Linked DNA regions of Drosophila melanogaster. The protein of the gene in region 2 purifies or fractionates together with the protein of the main gene of each other region. This does not show direct contact. Each region holds a gene or a part of one and is shown on either strand. Other genes may lie near its edges.

Evidence for each region.
Region 1: the proteins of ppk25 (region 2) and ppk29 purify together in Drosophila melanogaster (affinity purification with western blotting; one study listed by BioGRID). This does not show direct contact.

The regions. Positions count from the first base shown.
Region 1 is NT_033778.4:24,050,663-24,060,034, forward strand, and holds ppk29 (pickpocket 29), read right to left. Parts: upstream 5,291-9,372; intron 5,228-5,290; coding exon of another isoform or gene 5,028-5,227; intron 4,973-5,027; coding exon of another isoform or gene 4,911-4,972; intron 4,858-4,910; coding exon of another isoform or gene 4,809-4,857; exon of another isoform or gene 4,644-4,808; intron 4,623-4,643; 5' UTR 4,472-4,622; intron 4,310-4,471; 5' UTR 4,212-4,309; coding exon 4,150-4,211; intron 4,091-4,149; coding exon 3,745-4,090; intron 3,674-3,744; coding exon 3,537-3,673; intron 3,482-3,536; coding exon 3,385-3,481; intron 3,316-3,384; coding exon 3,128-3,315; intron 3,057-3,127; coding exon 2,974-3,056; coding exon of another isoform or gene 2,966-2,973; exon of another isoform or gene 2,913-2,965; coding exon 2,865-2,912; intron 2,800-2,864; coding exon 2,712-2,799; intron 2,658-2,711; coding exon 2,536-2,657; intron 2,474-2,535; coding exon 2,367-2,473; 3' UTR 2,279-2,366; downstream 1-2,278. Other genes in the region: sei (seizure), read left to right, coding at 1-67, 130-240, 301-455, 512-632, 695-815, 879-997, 1,055-1,109, 1,175-1,310 and 4 more; CG13563 (uncharacterized protein), read left to right, coding at 4,809-4,857, 4,911-4,972, 5,028-5,227, 5,291-6,821; eEF5 (eukaryotic translation elongation factor 5), read left to right, coding at 7,824-8,029, 8,270-8,471, 8,534-8,605.
Region 2 is NT_033778.4:6,947,117-6,953,838, reverse strand, and holds ppk25 (pickpocket 25), read right to left. Parts: upstream 3,455-6,722; 5' UTR 3,449-3,454; coding exon 3,135-3,448; intron 3,076-3,134; coding exon 2,794-3,075; intron 2,628-2,793; coding exon 2,528-2,627; intron 2,469-2,527; coding exon 2,277-2,468; intron 2,214-2,276; coding exon 1,989-2,213; intron 1,924-1,988; coding exon 1,681-1,923; downstream 1-1,680. Other genes in the region: CheB42a (chemosensory protein B 42a), read right to left, coding at 3,628-3,798, 3,859-4,035, 4,086-4,334.

The DNA.
Region 1 (9,372 bases), about 17 Mb from region 2:
CGTTACCTTCATCGTGGACATTATAATAAACTTTCGAACGACCTTTGTCAACTCGCAGGACGAAGTGGTCAGTGGCCAGCGTGGTGGAGTACTCAAATTTGGAAATTAAACAAACCACACTCATTCTAGGTATCCCATCCCGGACGGATAGCAGTTCACTACTTGAGCGGCTGGTTCCTAATCGATCTCGTGGCCGCCGTTCCGTTCGATTTGCTCCTGGTGGGCAGTGACACCGACGAGGTGAGAGCCATCTATGCACTCCTACATGGAATTGATTAATGCCTGCACTCCGCATTTCAGACAACTACCTTAATAGGACTTTTAAAAACAGCTCGACTCTTAAGACTCGTTCGCGTGGCCCGAAAAATAGATCGTTATTCGGAATACGGAGCCGCAGTTCTTATTTTGTTGATGGCGACCTTTATTTTGATTGCCCATTGGTTGGCATGCATATGGTAAACTAGCCTGATAATAGTCGATTTGTTTTTGGAATTGCTTAACTCTATTTAAGGTATGCGATTGGAAATGCGGAAAAGTCTATCGCTTCCAAGAACATCGGTTGGCTCAATTCGTTGGCCTACGATATTCAAGAACCCTATTTCGACAACCGCACTGGTGGTCCCTCTATAAAGGTAGAGTTTCCCTCCGTCCATCTACTCGTAATCCGCATGACTCTAAACCGATCCTCTTGCAGTCGCGCTATATCACGGCTTTGTATTTCACGTTCACCTCGCTCACTTCCGTGGGATTTGGCAATGTGGCACCGAATACTGATGCTGAAAAGGCATTCACTATTTGCGTGATGCTCGTTGGATGTAGGCAACATCGATATATTTCTTTAAATACGTGTAATGAGACCTTTAATTTCCCCCCTCAAGCTCTTATGTATGCAAGTATTTTTGGAAACGTATCTGCCATTATTCAAAGGCTGTACTCGGGAACCGCCAGATATCACACGCAAATGCTGCGCGTTAGGGAGTTCATTCGCTTTCACCAGGTATTGAGCACGCACATCCTATAAGTATAGAACTGAGCACCTATTCCTATTCTGCAGATACCGAACCCGCTCAGGCAGAGACTGGAGGAGTACTTTCAGCACGCCTGGACCTGTAATACCATCTGACCTCCTTCCTCTTCCCTAGCCTAATCCTCTAATAATCCACTGCCCTTTCAGATACGAATGGCATCGACATGAACTCGCTGCTCAAGGGATTCCCCGAGTGCCTGCAAGCCGACATTTGCCTGCATTTGAACAGAAAGCTATTGACGACATGTGCCGCTTTCTCGGAGGCAAGTCCTGGTTGCCTACGGTGAGTTTGTGTCCAAGCGAACCAGTATGGAAAATGAACGAGTACTTGAACTTGCAGAGCGTTCTCCCTTAAGTTTAAAACCACCCATGCCCCGCCTGGCGATATCCTAGTACACCGAGGAGATGTGCTCACCTCATTGTACTTCATAGCCAGGGGATCCATAGAAATCCAGAGAGCCGGCAATATTGTTGTACTTGGTGAGTTCAGTGATTTCGGACCAACTGTCGTACATAAAATTAAACTCATAAATAAGACACTCTCTACCTCTTCTTTTTTTCTAGTTGTGAACTGTGTTCTATAGAGATATAGTTGCATGCTAGATTTTCCGTACATTCAGAGTTTACTTTAATTACTACTGCATAAGAAGTTATAGTTCGTTGGCATTTGCAATTGATAATTAATCAAAACTCCTCTTGCTCAAGGTAAAAACGATATATTTGGCGAAAATCCGTGTATTTACCCAACGGTCGGAAAGTCGAACGGCGTGGTGAGAGCACTGACATACTGTGATATCCACAAACTGCACAGGGACGATTTGCTGGACGTGCTGGACTCGTATCCGGAGTTCCTGGAGAGCTTCGTTAGCAACCTGGTAATCACCTATAACATGAGAGATGTGAGTAAGCGGACCTCGTTGCAGTGAGTGCATAACTGAACGGTGGCCATATCCTGTTCCTTTCAGGACGAGCACTCTGGCGTCGATATCAAGCACCGCTACCTGAGAGCAAAGTCCTCCGACAAAATGAGGAGCTCTCCTGACATACCCTCTATAAGAATGTAAGCGAATACCACGTTGCGGGAGAATGCTGTCTTACGTACTTCTTTTCAGAGTCGGGCTGCGTTATAAGAAACAAAATGTTAATACTTCTGTGCATAAAGTTAAGAATGATAACTCCCGAGACCTTAATATCTTTATAGAAAACGAAATCGCAAACTATCACCTTGACTTGTTCGATAATAATAATTAGGGCTCACTTATGCTCGCTCAATCCGAATTATCTTATTTATTTGTGCACAAGCTGTTGCGAGGCTAAAGAGCGAAAAGCAATAAAGGTCCTAACCGAAAATCATGGTCTTGAGTTTTTTAATGAAGTACGAAATGATCTCCAGTAGGTTCAGCAGGGAGGCGCCGAAGAAGAGTCCTGCCACACTTCCGATGCCGACTGAAACGGGATTCGGCGGGATTAGTTCCGAAGTTAGCCGATTGGGTTGGCAGCAGGCATACCTATTAGATCCAGCTTGGTCTGGGTGACTTTTCGTTCGTACCGCACCGTGGGTGGAGAGGCTATTTGAATTTCGGTGATCTGTGTATTATTATTGTAGAGTGTTCCATTTTCAGTTATGACCCTGCCAGAGAAGATGGGCTATTAGCAAGGATATAAACTATTTTGGGGCCTTTACCCCACTAGACTTATCTGCTGCTCCACGCAGGATGGCAGGCAAACCGTACTGCTACCGACGTACTCCTTAACTCTGGTTGCAAACCCTTCTGTAATTCGATTATCATTAACATTGACAACGGATTTCATCGGTCAAAGTCTAAGACATAGTCACCTTTAATCAAGCAATCCGCGTGTTGCAATCCGCAATAGAGACTTTCGTCTGCAAAAGAAACAGGGCAATGAAGTCACCTTTACTTTCATCATTCAAGTGCCTCACGTACTGCGATCCTTTGGGTTGAATAGAGAGCAGTCGCAAGTTTTCATCTCAAACTCACTCCGGATGATAGACATGCAGGCCGAGAAGCTGCGTGGAACAGAAAAAGAAGAAGCAGAAGCAGGTAACTCCGGATGAGTAACTCACTCACCTACTCCTACCTGTAAGGAAACCCCTCGATGGAACTCTCGCTGGGGAACTTGCACTTGCGCTGGGAAATGGGCTCGTCGATGACACCTTCGTGGTTGTGAATCTCCTCGACGTTGAAGGCGTATGTTGTGGGGTCGGTGGAGATGGTATAGGTCAAGGAATTGAAGAAGGGCAGATCCTCGGGACTGTTGACGTACATCTTAGATGATGAGCACAAGTGTTATTTTGTTAGCTATGTGTTAGCCCAGCGAAACGTATCCCATCTCACCTCATATTTATACATAACAGAACTTCGCATGTAGAGTCGCAGACTTCGGTTGTTATCCAACGAAGAATACCTGAGAGGCATTTCTTCGATGCTGTCACTGGAGTAGGCATTTATTTTATTCGCGATTTGAACTACTAAATATTAACACTAACTAGTCCAATAGATTGTTCGCCAGAAAGCAGTAGCCCATTTCCGTCACATGAAACTTGAATATCTCCTCGCAGTCTGTCACCAATTCGCCACGAAAGTATATTTCTTTAAAGCATTCAGTACAATTGGTTGGAAACATCTAGAAGTGCAAATGGTAATTTAGTTCAAATATAATCCAAAGTCCCCCCCCCCCCCATGCGACACCGACACCTTTCTTCTTATATCCAAAATATTGAAATTGTACGGGTAACTTGTATTCTTGGTAGGCTCCTTCGTAAATATGTTGTTGGGGTTGAGAAAAGCATATTCGTATATCATTCTTGTAAAGGAGAAGGCAAAGTCTTCCTGAAAATACTCCCGCATCATTGCCTTGAATTCGTTAAACGCTCGGCTTTTTGTTAAGCAGATTCCTATCGATGGGAAGGTGTTTATCCAGCGACTGTAGGCGGTCGAGACCCCTATTGTCGTGGAGTCCGTTTCGTATCTGGTTTTCAATAGAACCAATATGGAAACGGTGCTCCATCCAGAAATGCCAATCACAAAAATCCAAAGCAGCCTGCAAAGAGTGATGGTTTTGCGAACCGTAGACAATATCCTCGAATCGCTGACTCTTACCCTTTATTTTCCACAAAAGACCTTATAAATCCTCGAAAATTCATTACTGACTTCCGCCACATTTCGTATTCATGAAATCCTTTCCACAATTTCTTCGTGACTAATTCGAAAATATATGATGTCCATCCTTTATTTAAATACGGAGGGATGCACGCAAGTTCTGATGCAAATCGAGCGTGTCGTTTAGATTAATGGAGAGATAAGAAGAAAACATACTCGTAGCTTTGAAATGCAACTGCATACTGCACGCAATGTTCAGATGCACTAATGGGTATCAAAGATGCGAGGGAATCGGTTCGTTGGGCTGCGAAAGTGTGCATACCTTTTGAAAGTGTATCCAACTATATAGATGCAACAATTATAACTGAAGATGGGCTTGTCCAAGCGTTGCGTTTTATGCTCCATAGCACACACGCCACCATTTGGATGCAGCATCTGGGCACTGACTTGGCAACAATCATTCACTCGGGAACCTAGGCGGATAAAATATAATAAGAAAATTAAATGCACATTTACCACAAGTGTGAGTGATCTGGCAAATGCATATATCCCTGAAAAGTCGATCATCTCTTTGATTCCCAGCCAAGTAGCAAGTAATGTGGATGAAAAACCAATGCTGCTAGTCTTGAACTGTCTGCAGCCAAAATCAATCGCTCAAGATGCTGGGGAAAGTGAAAGGCAGCATTATTGTCATTTACATGACCACTGGTATGGAGGTTAAAATCAATAAATTCGAATTAAGCTCACCCGCTTCGCTTCAGGACTGCTGTACATACTGCTGAGCATAAAGTCATCCGCCAGCTACATGAGGCCAAAACGCCAGGTAAGCATTCGACGCCAGGAAAAGCGAAAGTATGAACGCCCGCATCGACTTTCAGATGTGGCCCGTGGATCATCCAGGGATCGTCCTCTATAGACAGCACCCGAACGCCATGCGAAAGTTCTACTGGTACAACGCTAGGACCCCGATCCTGGTGGGCAAAATGCGTCTAAAAAACTACATGCGCAACATGCACATGCTGCCCCGATACGTGCCCTCACCTGTCCAGTTCCACGAGGCCTATGCGAACTCGAAGAGGTCTATATCAGCGCACATATCATCCATTTGTGCATACGTATAATCATAGTGGATTTCTTTCAGGAGCATCTTCAGGGACTTGAGCCAAGTGAATGGGTTCAAGAGCACACTCCTGCCCATTGCTACTTCCACCGTTGACTTCGTTGCGGCCCCGCTCAACACGATTGAGTACAGTTCCCCTCCGGTAAACGCACCTATTGGTTTCAGTTCAGCCCCAGTCAACGCCTTCGTGCCCCTCACGACGGGAACCCTTCCGAGCGCAGAACGCCTCATTGGCGCTCCGAGTCTGTGGAACCACTCCGAAACCCACGCCTCCAACGACGGCTGGAACAAGTGCCGCGAAAACTGCCTCCAGATTCCGTTCCAGGAGTATGCCAAGGACCAATACAGCTCGCAGAGCAAGACCAGTGACCTGCCGGTGACCACGACAACCACTTTGCCCTACTTCAACTACGTTGCGCACACCTACTTCACCCTTGACGACGTGATTCTCCCCCATTCCGCATCGAAACTCGGCAAATCTCCAGCACAAGACCAGCAATTTCGGCCCAGTCACCAAATTCTCACAACGGAAAGGCCCCAGGAGCTTTTCACCGAGCGGTTTCAGCACACCACGCCGCCTCCAACTACAACAACCACGACCACTGAATTCACTTTTCCGGGGAAAACCACTGCTTTGGAAATGGAGTACAGATATAGCACCCGACCAAGCTGGTTTAGCCCCACTACCTCCAGCACCACAACAACCGAAGCTGCGGCTTCTGAGGATCCCCCGAAATGGACAACTCCGCAACCCGCTCAGAACGTCTATTCCACGGCGAATGTTACGACAGGATCCTATAAGCACAGACTAAAATCCCTGAAAGCGACCAAAAACTTCTCTTCAAGCATTGAAACTAAACTGAAACTTTTGAAGCTTCATCTTAAAAACCTGGTTACAACTAGGGAAACGCCGAAGAACGTTCAGAATCTAACGACTACAGCTGTTCTTGACAACCACACCACTTTGGAAACGACTACAACAACAACTACGCCCACACCGCCAAGAAGAAGAACAAACGTCAATAGAAAACTGAGAAAACTGCGAGTTTTGGCATCGACCAAAAAGGTTCCGGTGCAGATTTCGAGAAATTCTACAGATTCCAGCAAAGCCATGGGAGAATTCAAAAAGAGTTTACCGAAAAGAATTTACCAACGGCGCAAGCACTTGAACTCCACTGCAATGCCAGAAGCCGCGAAAAACACAACAGCTGATACCGATATCGAAACGATAAAAAAGCTTAAGCGCCGAACAACAGCAACACCCCGGAAATCGACGAAGGTCGATGATAATGTTATCGTTCGAAACGCTACGCAGGCGATAAGTCACACTTTGGCAAAATCTCGCGCCGATGGTATATCAGAAGAAAAACACGCTTTGGTCACAGAATCGGCAATTATGACTATTTCCAGTGGTACTTTAAAAATGAGGCAGCCCCATATTAAGGCAAGGTCAAAGCCGCAAAGGTCCAGAAAAATGTCGCACCTGGAAAACGATAATTTCATACCGTCGTTGCCCATTGAGGTTTATTTTAAAAAAGTAAATCAGCAGTAAATTGCTATAGTCTTCGAGTCATGCGTATACATTGTGTAAATGAACAGAGCAAACTAAAGTCTTAACCATTATTTATACTTACAGAGACATTTTAAGCACCAAATACATAATAAAACAAAAAATTAAGTGTTTACTTGCAACATACATACATACATACACATATAGCTTATAAATAGTTGTTTTCAAATTTAAGACTGAGTTGGCAGGCCATTGTAAGTTTGGCGAAAATACGGCATCGGCCTTATCGTTCCATTCCCACAGTTCCTAAACTGGCACAGCGACCGGTGCTGACAATCCGTGTGCTAAGATGCAGCACTGTGCGTTTCTTATTATTGACCGGAAACAAAACGTGGGTTTGATTCGATAGCAGGGTTCTTTCATTTTACATCTTCGGTTGGAACAGTCACTGGACTTTGCAAGTAGGTTAGTAATTTCGCATTTTTGTGTATAAAAAAATTGCAAATTCGCCGGAGAAGCGGCGGACGACCTAAATGGCACTTACAGCCGGAGGAGACGGTCAAAAACGGCTTGGAAGCCAGAATTAACCTCCGGTCATCTCGGCACATTCAGTAATATGCGAAAGAAAGTGCTTACACTCACACAAGCACACATACACACATACAAGTGCAAAAATGCAGTACACAACTTTCAAGTGCCGTGTGTCTCGATGACTTTGCCAAATTAAATGTTTGAACACTAAAGTGCCAAGTGCCTGGGTATGCAATTTGGCATATGACATTTCGGATACATACATTTGCCGACACATATATACATACGTATGTATGCATTTTTTCGGCTTGCACACACACGTATTTACATACATATGTGCGAATCCGTCTGTGTCTGTATGTACCCATAGAACGCCGAGGTATATAATGTGCTTTCAACACCAGCTAGTGTCTTTGTGCCTAAGTGTAAATGCATTCAAATCCCAATTAATCGGCAGTTAATTAAATAGATAAATAATTAATTCAATCACATCTTGTGTCTTGTGCGGCAGATATGGCTGAGTTGGACGATCAATTCGAGACCACGGATTCCGGCGCATCGACGACCTATCCCATGCAATGTTCGGCATTGCGCAAAAACGGATTCGTCATGCTGAAGTCGCGGCCATGCAAGATTGTCGAGATGTCTACTTCAAAGACTGGAAAGCACGGACACGCCAAGGTTCATATGGTTGGCATTGATATTTTCTCTAACAAGAAGTGAGTATATTCGCATATTTCTTCCTATCTGGTGGCAGCAGCATTTGCGGAGAACACAAAGGAAGCGACGCGCTGCTCTTGAATGTAATCAACGAAAAGTGTGCGCAAGCAATCTTATCTTGGACCAAAGTTATCAATAAATTTATGGAGGAAAATTAGAGTTCAACGCGGCGACGCCACCTCAAGCCAAATCCAGATCCTCTTACTTAACGCCTGCTTTGTCTATCGTCGTCTTTGCAGATATGAAGATATTTGCCCATCTACTCATAACATGGATGTGCCCAATGTCAAAAGGGAGGACCTTCAGTTGATTGCTATTAGTGACGATAGCTTCCTTACATTGATGACCGAGAGCGGAGATCTGCGTGAAGACTTGAAGGTTCCAGAGGGCGAATTGGGTGAACAATTGCGTTTAGATTTTGATAGTGGCAAGGACTTACTGGTGAGTTTGCCTCGACACCATATTATTATTTCGCAGAGAATAATTTAATTATACTTTTTCAGTGCACCGTTCTCAAGGCGTGCGGAGAGGAGTGCGTTATCGCAATTAAAACCAATACTGCTCTGGACAAATAGGCAAAATGTGTCGCTGTAAATTTCTGTTGCATTTACATCTGAAACAAATTTATTCAAAGATGCTGTTATAGGCTAGTTGGCTCTACATCTTAAATCTGGTTCTAACGATTGTAATTAATATAACAGAAACTCGAAGCATCATGTTTGAATAACTAAGTAACAAGATACACGTTTGCCAATAAAATTTTTTACCTAAACGTCATCCGTAAAACTATGATTCTCCTGTTTTTCATTGGGTTTAAGCTCTTTATTTCAGCAAACTTTATTCTAATTCGCACAGCTAAATGGGAAAAGTAAACAAAATGTTGGTCTGGACGCACGAATGAATGGCGTCACTTAGCATTGTGATGGTAAACGGCGGGAACCAGATGGGGTGACGCTACCGGTTTTGAATGGGTACAAGATGAACTTGTATTATTGACAACGCTACTGAGCTTTGCTACACCCCATTTAAAAGTGTAGTGTATCCTGAAAAAGATAAGGTACTCGGATATAGAGAATGGAGGAGGCATATTGTTTGAGGCAGGTCGGAATTTCGTATAGTACCAATTTATGTATGTACATGTACATATGTACGGTTTAAATGCCGTTGTTAAATAACATTTCAACATTGATGTACCGACTTTCGGAAAGGTCAAGTAAAAGTACAAAAACAATAAAAACAATTTTCATAAGTTGTAAGATTAGAAGAATAATCGATAATTTTTTAAGCCAAATGCCAATCAATCGATATACCAATTGTCTTGTAAATCGGTTTAGTAAGTTGA
Region 2 (6,722 bases):
GCATTGAGGGACTCGCTAAGAGCACGCAGGGTCTCTTCCATTTTGATTTTTAGTTTGCGTTGGAAAGATGCAGGAAGCTTTCAAGGCAACAGAATTCGTTATTACTTTACGGAAATGTGAGACAACGGTTTTAACCCGATAAAAAAGAATATCTGTTCTTCTTTGCTTTTTCTTTATTTCTCTAAATTTAGCAAATATGGCAATAAAGTTTAATGAAATATTTCACTCACCCTTGTATGCTCTTTATTAGTTTTCGTCGTTTAGGTTGTACCCCTACAGCATGAATATTTTGTTTTCCTTTGAATTGTGGTGTTGTGCATGTGTTTATACAATTTTTGTGCGCTATTCCATTTTGCAATATTTTTTCCTTGCGTGCGTGCTGTTACAGTTTTTTATTGATGACCTCTAATTTATTTCGGCACTGGGCACGGTGGTTCCGTAGTATCCCTTTTGGCTGGTTGCCTACTAAGGTACGGCCGCCACACAACTTGTTGGGCGGTTTTTTTTGGGTGCATTCCACACCACTTAACGTATCCAACAAGCTGCCACACACCACCTTATCACTCTGGGCGCTCATATTACTCGTACTGCCGCAGGTAAACTGCTGCAATGGTTAATTATTGGTTTATTATACACAATCTTTTGCACTCGCGAATTGGCAAGGAGAGAAAAAAAAAAAAATTTTCCCACAAGCCGTACCGCCGCAGTGGGTTGATCGTGTTTTAATTATGTTATAGGTATCGTACAACTTTTGCGCTCGGCATGGGCGACGTGGCGTCCTCCGGTAGCGGGTCGTTGTTTTATTAATTTAAATTAGGTCTTGGCGCAACATAGGTTTACATTTTTATTTTAGAAATTTTACACCTTTTATTGAATTATGCAATATTTGTTGCGCCCCGGGATGGGCGTAGTTCCCCCCGGCAGCGGGTAATTGCTATTTTATCATTTTATACACAGCTCACGCAGCACTTCTTTTTCATTTATGGATTTCAGATCTTAATCTGACTTATGCACACCACCACTATTTTTACGCACAAATTTCCACAATTTTTTCGTATCACTTTTATCGGCCGGACATTGCCGGTCCCTGTTCGGGCGCCAGTTAACGCAAGTTCCACTTGCATCAGGGTTCTCGGCACTCGCTGCCGCATACCTCACCTTGATATGACAACCAACATGCTGTGGTTCTCCAAATAATAGTCAAGATAGTTAAGAGGGTTCGAGTTTACGATTAGCTTTATTTTAAGATTCAGTTCGCGATCTGCTAGCGGTTCCGTTATGTGTCCGTTCGAGACTGGGACCTCTTCTCCCGCCCCGCTGCTTTTATATCCGCTTCCCCCGTTGACCCCTCACCCTGAGTGCGACCAACGGCACTTGTTCCGAATGCACACATACACAAACATGTTCCTAGACAGGCCCCGAGTCGCCTGCTGACGGGGCCCGAAAACACGAGAGCCGAGCGCTGGTGAGTCCTGACGAAGATCGCAAGAAGAGGGTTCGTAACTTACACGAACATGTTACTAGACAGGCCCCGAGTCGCCTGCTGACGGGGCCCGAAAACACGAGAGCCGAGCGCTGGTGAGTCCTGACGAAGAGCGCAAGAAGAGGGTTCTTAACTTATATGTATATATTTGCATTACCTACATATATATGTATATATTAAGAAGCAATTTTAATTACTTAAAAAAAAAAACGCTTGCAAAATCGGTTCTTGCATGTATAAGCTATGAAAGTTAGAAAAAAGTATACCACGCCGTATATGGTCATGAAGCTGGCTCCAAGAAAGAGGCCAATGGCTCCACCAAACGACATTATCAACTGATCCGTGCTGAATACAACCCGCCGATTTATGCCCATCCTCGAAATTTGCAGGTTGATGATCAGCGTCCGCTCGAACCTCTCGCCAGAGTAGTTGTCATCGCCCTGAAGAAAGTAAATTCTAAATTGCAATAATTGGGGGCTTAAGGATACAACATTCTTTCACCCACCCCAGTCTGGTCAGACACTTTGAAGATGGTAAAGGTTTCCTCGCGACAAGACGGATAGCAATCGCATGGTCTTTCAAGCCACTTGGACCGGGCTAGGCAGAGCATTCCGGATACTGTGCAGATTGGAACTTCGGGAGCTGCTACGTAGAAATAGGGCTTGCAGTTGCACAGGCTCAGGGCCCATTTGATTCGGCACTCAAGTCGGCAAAGACTTGGGTGGTAGGGCTAAAAGGACATGTTGCTGTTTTGATTGGACGCAATTGGTACGGGTAAAGGTCTAAAACTCACACTGTAATACTGCAGATTGTTTTCGTCACTGAAGCGACACTTGCGATATGCTACCGGTAGATTTCGCACCTCGCTTTCCGCCGATGTGGTATGTAGCATAATATCGAGATCCTTGGATTCGATGTCTTTAGCATCAAAAGAGGGAGTTCGCATGTCGTCGGGTAGCATCATTTCTTCGACATCGTGAAGGTACTGTAAAGTTGGATTCGCTTAACAGTGTATTTCAAAAAAGAATGATAAATGCTGCCTACCATAAATATGGGGGCAACAATGCTATTTATAGGCTTCAGAGATGTGATGCAATTACTCAAATAGCCGCACTGTTTCATGGGTTCCATATCCTGTGTTTCTCTTAGATAAAAGCGTTAAGTAAAAATGTAAATGTAAATTCTCTTGATGGGCACAAAAAATATGTAAAGCAAAAAGCGAAATTAAAGAAAGAATAGCTTATTTATTTTATTATTTAATAATTTATTTTTTTTGTTTTATATTTAATGTTATTTAGGCGCAGACTTACAGTTTGCCGTAGGGATTTCCGTATCGGTTTAACTGGCTGGATGTTTGGCACAGACCCACCTCAGTAATGATTGGCGCCAGTTCTGGCGGGATTTTAACCGCTATTACCTTTTTTTGCAGCGTGAGCAAAATGTTCAAGTAATTCACGTTGTCCAAAGTGGTATCATTCTCGAAGGGTTCCAGCGTCTCCAGAGTGGAGTAACGAAGGCCGTTGATTGCAAGCAGAAACTTTCTGTAGTACACAGCTTTTTCTTTGTCTTCGCTGGGATCCACTCCCCAAGTTCTTGATATTTTATAATATATTAGTGCTTTCAATTTACCAATGTAAATCGAAACACTCACTGATTTATAAGCCTTGGGATCTCCGTTTCGTCGTGGTACCTAGGGCACAGTGTTATCCCCACGAAGGGGAAGATGCGCAGCCCAAAGAGATATTCGTACTCGTAGACAATAGGATTGTCCCGGAACCGGTACCATTGGTTAAGGCAGCTGCTGATGGCGTAGTAGGCCGAGCCCAGGATTATGAATGTCCAAAAGAGGCGCTCGGCCCAGTGTAGATCCCTGCGGGCGATGTAGGGCATGCCGTGGATGGAGGACTCCTGGCACAGCTCGGCGAGCCAGTCCGGTTGCTTCGGCCGACTCATTTTGGATTCCATGATGAACTGAACAGAAGTTCAGAAGTTCGCATTCAACTTTAGCGACCCGTGTAATGACACACAACAACACCACACCCTCCCCCCCCTCACCACCATTATTCACCTTGTTTGATGTGCTCCAATTATAGACTTTAATGGTGTTTCGCTGTATGTTCAGCATGCATATACAATTGTCGTGATTAGACCTGTCCTGCAGTTCCACGGAACTCTATGCAAATGGGAACTGGGCGCCTTACATTGCGCTTATCGAAGGCCTCTATTTGGACCACCAGCTTGTAGCGCCCATCCAGATTCGGAACATTCAAGCTGGTCTTCAAGTCCAGTTCGTAGTCTTTGTACTTTAAAACGGCCTACAATATTGTGTTTATGAGAAATGACCAGTGACCAAACTAGGAGGTACATTTTCTTACCCCTGGTGTGGTCAAGCACTTTTCCTTAATCTCGTCGGAGTTGCTAATATACTTTGTCCAGAAATTATACCAGTATTGGTTCTTATCAAACATGTTTTTGCAAAAGTTATTGGAGCTGGCCGTAAACATAGTCTTCTGCCAAGTGCCCTTATCCAGGCGATAGACTTGACCAAATACCTGCGCGATATTCAAATAGTTTATTAGGAAAAGTTTCCTTAGGGACTTGCCTTTAATGTGTCTCCAGGCTGGACATCTTTCCAGACCACTTTCTGCTCTCCTTCAATTCGAACTTTCGAACCAAGGTTATGTACTTTAAGGGAGGAAGTATCCACCATCGCTTCAAAACCAGAAGGATTTCCGGGCTGATTCTCGCATGGTGCTAACAAGCCATCTTTGTCCAATGTTAACTGGTACTCAGTCGCTCCAGCCAAACAGATGACCACTTGGAGCACCAGGATTGTAAAAGTAGCCTTCATATTAACAAGCTTTCCAGTATGAGGATGGGTACATAGTGCTAAAAACTGCACGTTATATACAGCTTAGGGGTCGTCTATGATTCTAATTGCACACAGTATAATATGATTATGATATGATAAAATCATTGTCTTTAATAATTTAAAAAGGGCGTATCTCTTTTGGCACGAAAATAAGTATGTTCGATTAAAAATTCGCGTGACTGTTTTTCTAAACTAAATATTAGACGAATGTCAAGTTCATAACCCCATTTACCCCATATATTTTCCGGAGTTTTGGCAGACAGCAAATTCATTTACCTGCCCGGCTAGCTCAGTCGGTAGAGCATGAGACTCTTAATCTCAGGGTCGTGGGTTCGAGCCCCACGTTGGGCGACCAATATTTTGTAGTAAATATTCAAATTTTAATAGTTAATTGATTACCAGAGAAAATCAATTGTCGAGACTCTCGACTATCGGATATCTTTTAATTAACTAATTAGGCTTAAAGCATATGCGAACATGGATGGATGTAATTATATATAAAAATGATTTTTATACCCGTTACTCGTAAATTAAATTGGTTGAGGAGTATGTAACAGGCATGAGGAAGCGTTTGCGACTATATAAAGTAGACATATTCTTAATCAGGATCAATAGCCTAGTCGATCTAGCCATGCCCGTCTGTCCGTATGAGCGTCGAGATCTATAAAAGCTAGAAGGTTGAGATTCAGCATACAGATTCTAGAGACTTGAGACAAAGACGCAGGGCAATTTTGTTGACCCATGCTGCCACGCTCACTGTAACGCCCTAAAACCGCCAAAATCGGCTGCGCCCACATATATTTGAAAAATTGTTGGACATTTTTTCATAATGTTATTAGTTGCTTAAATTTCTATAGATTTGCTAAAAAAAAACTTTTTGCCACGTCCACTCTAACGTTCTAAACCTTTCCAATTTTTCTATATCTATCAATATCCCAGAAAAATTATGAAATTTCGCGTTCGCATTCACACTAGCTGAGAAACGGGTATCTGATAGTCAGGGAACACGACTTTAGAATTCTATCTTGTTTTTCATTTCTAAACAAAATACTAGACGCATGTCTATAGTTCCTAACCCCATTTGATATATTTTCCCGAGTTTTGACAGACGGCAATTTTGTTTACCTGCCCGGCTAGCTCAGTCGGTAGAGCATGAGACTCTTAATCTCAGGGTCGTGGGTTCGAGCCCCACGTTGGGCGACCAATATTTTGTAGTAAATATACAAATTTTAATAGTTAATTGATTACCAGAGGAAACCCATTATGTCGAGACTCTCGACTATCACATATCCTTTACTTAACTAATTAGGCTTAAAGCCGATGTGCTCATGTACATATAATTATATAAATGATTTATTATGGTTTATGATTTTTTATAAATCAATTTATCTATAAATTACAATTTATTTATCTTGTCAAAACCTGCTGAATAGAATTATTTTTAAATAGGTAGATAAAAATGCATGTAAGGATAAGCTGGCTTGATCTTTATCTAAATGCAAATGGGCTTTAAACTTGACTAGATGGGCGAGGGACTAGTCAATACGCTTTCGTCTTGTTTTTAGCACCACAGGGTTTTTATACCACCATTATTCTTTAAGCTTATAGTATAAGTTTAAATTTAAAACTATTACGATTTCGATGATTTTGACAGTCAGATGTCAAGAACACATGCCCGGCTAGCTCAGTCGGTAGAGCATGAGACTCTTAATCTCAGGGTCGTGGGTTCGAGCCCCACGTTGGGCGATGTTTTTTATTTTAATTCAAAATTAATATACAATTAATAAACATTTTTTGAGCTCCACTTTCGGCAATTGATTTTTTACTAATTGGAAAATTATTAAGCATATTTAATTTGCCTAAAATGAGTCCCAATTAATTTGGAAGCTAAAAATAGTTTGTGTATATATGATACAAATGCATCTTGTGAATCTGCATAACCATTTCGAATAAAACAAAAGGCTAAAGGTATTACAACAATGTTTCTAGGTTTGACAGCAAAGCGCCCGTTGCCTTTAATCCGGCTTATATGCGCATGTATAAATATGCTTTCTCATATTTAGCAATGTGTTTATAGAAGTAATTTATAATTTTTATACCCGTATACCAAAGACACTAGAATAACTAGAATTTACTATAATAACACTAGAATTCTAGGGTCTTTGCTTATACTATATTCGTTAAAAAGTATGTACCAGGCAGAAGGAAGCGTTTGCGACCATTTTCTTATGTTTTTCTCATATTATTCCCCAATATCAATCGATAAGCCAGAAAAAATAAGGAAATTTCTAGTTGACATTGCCACTAGCTGAGTAACGGGTATCTGATAGTCGGGAAACTAGACTAAAACATTTTCTCTTGTTTTGT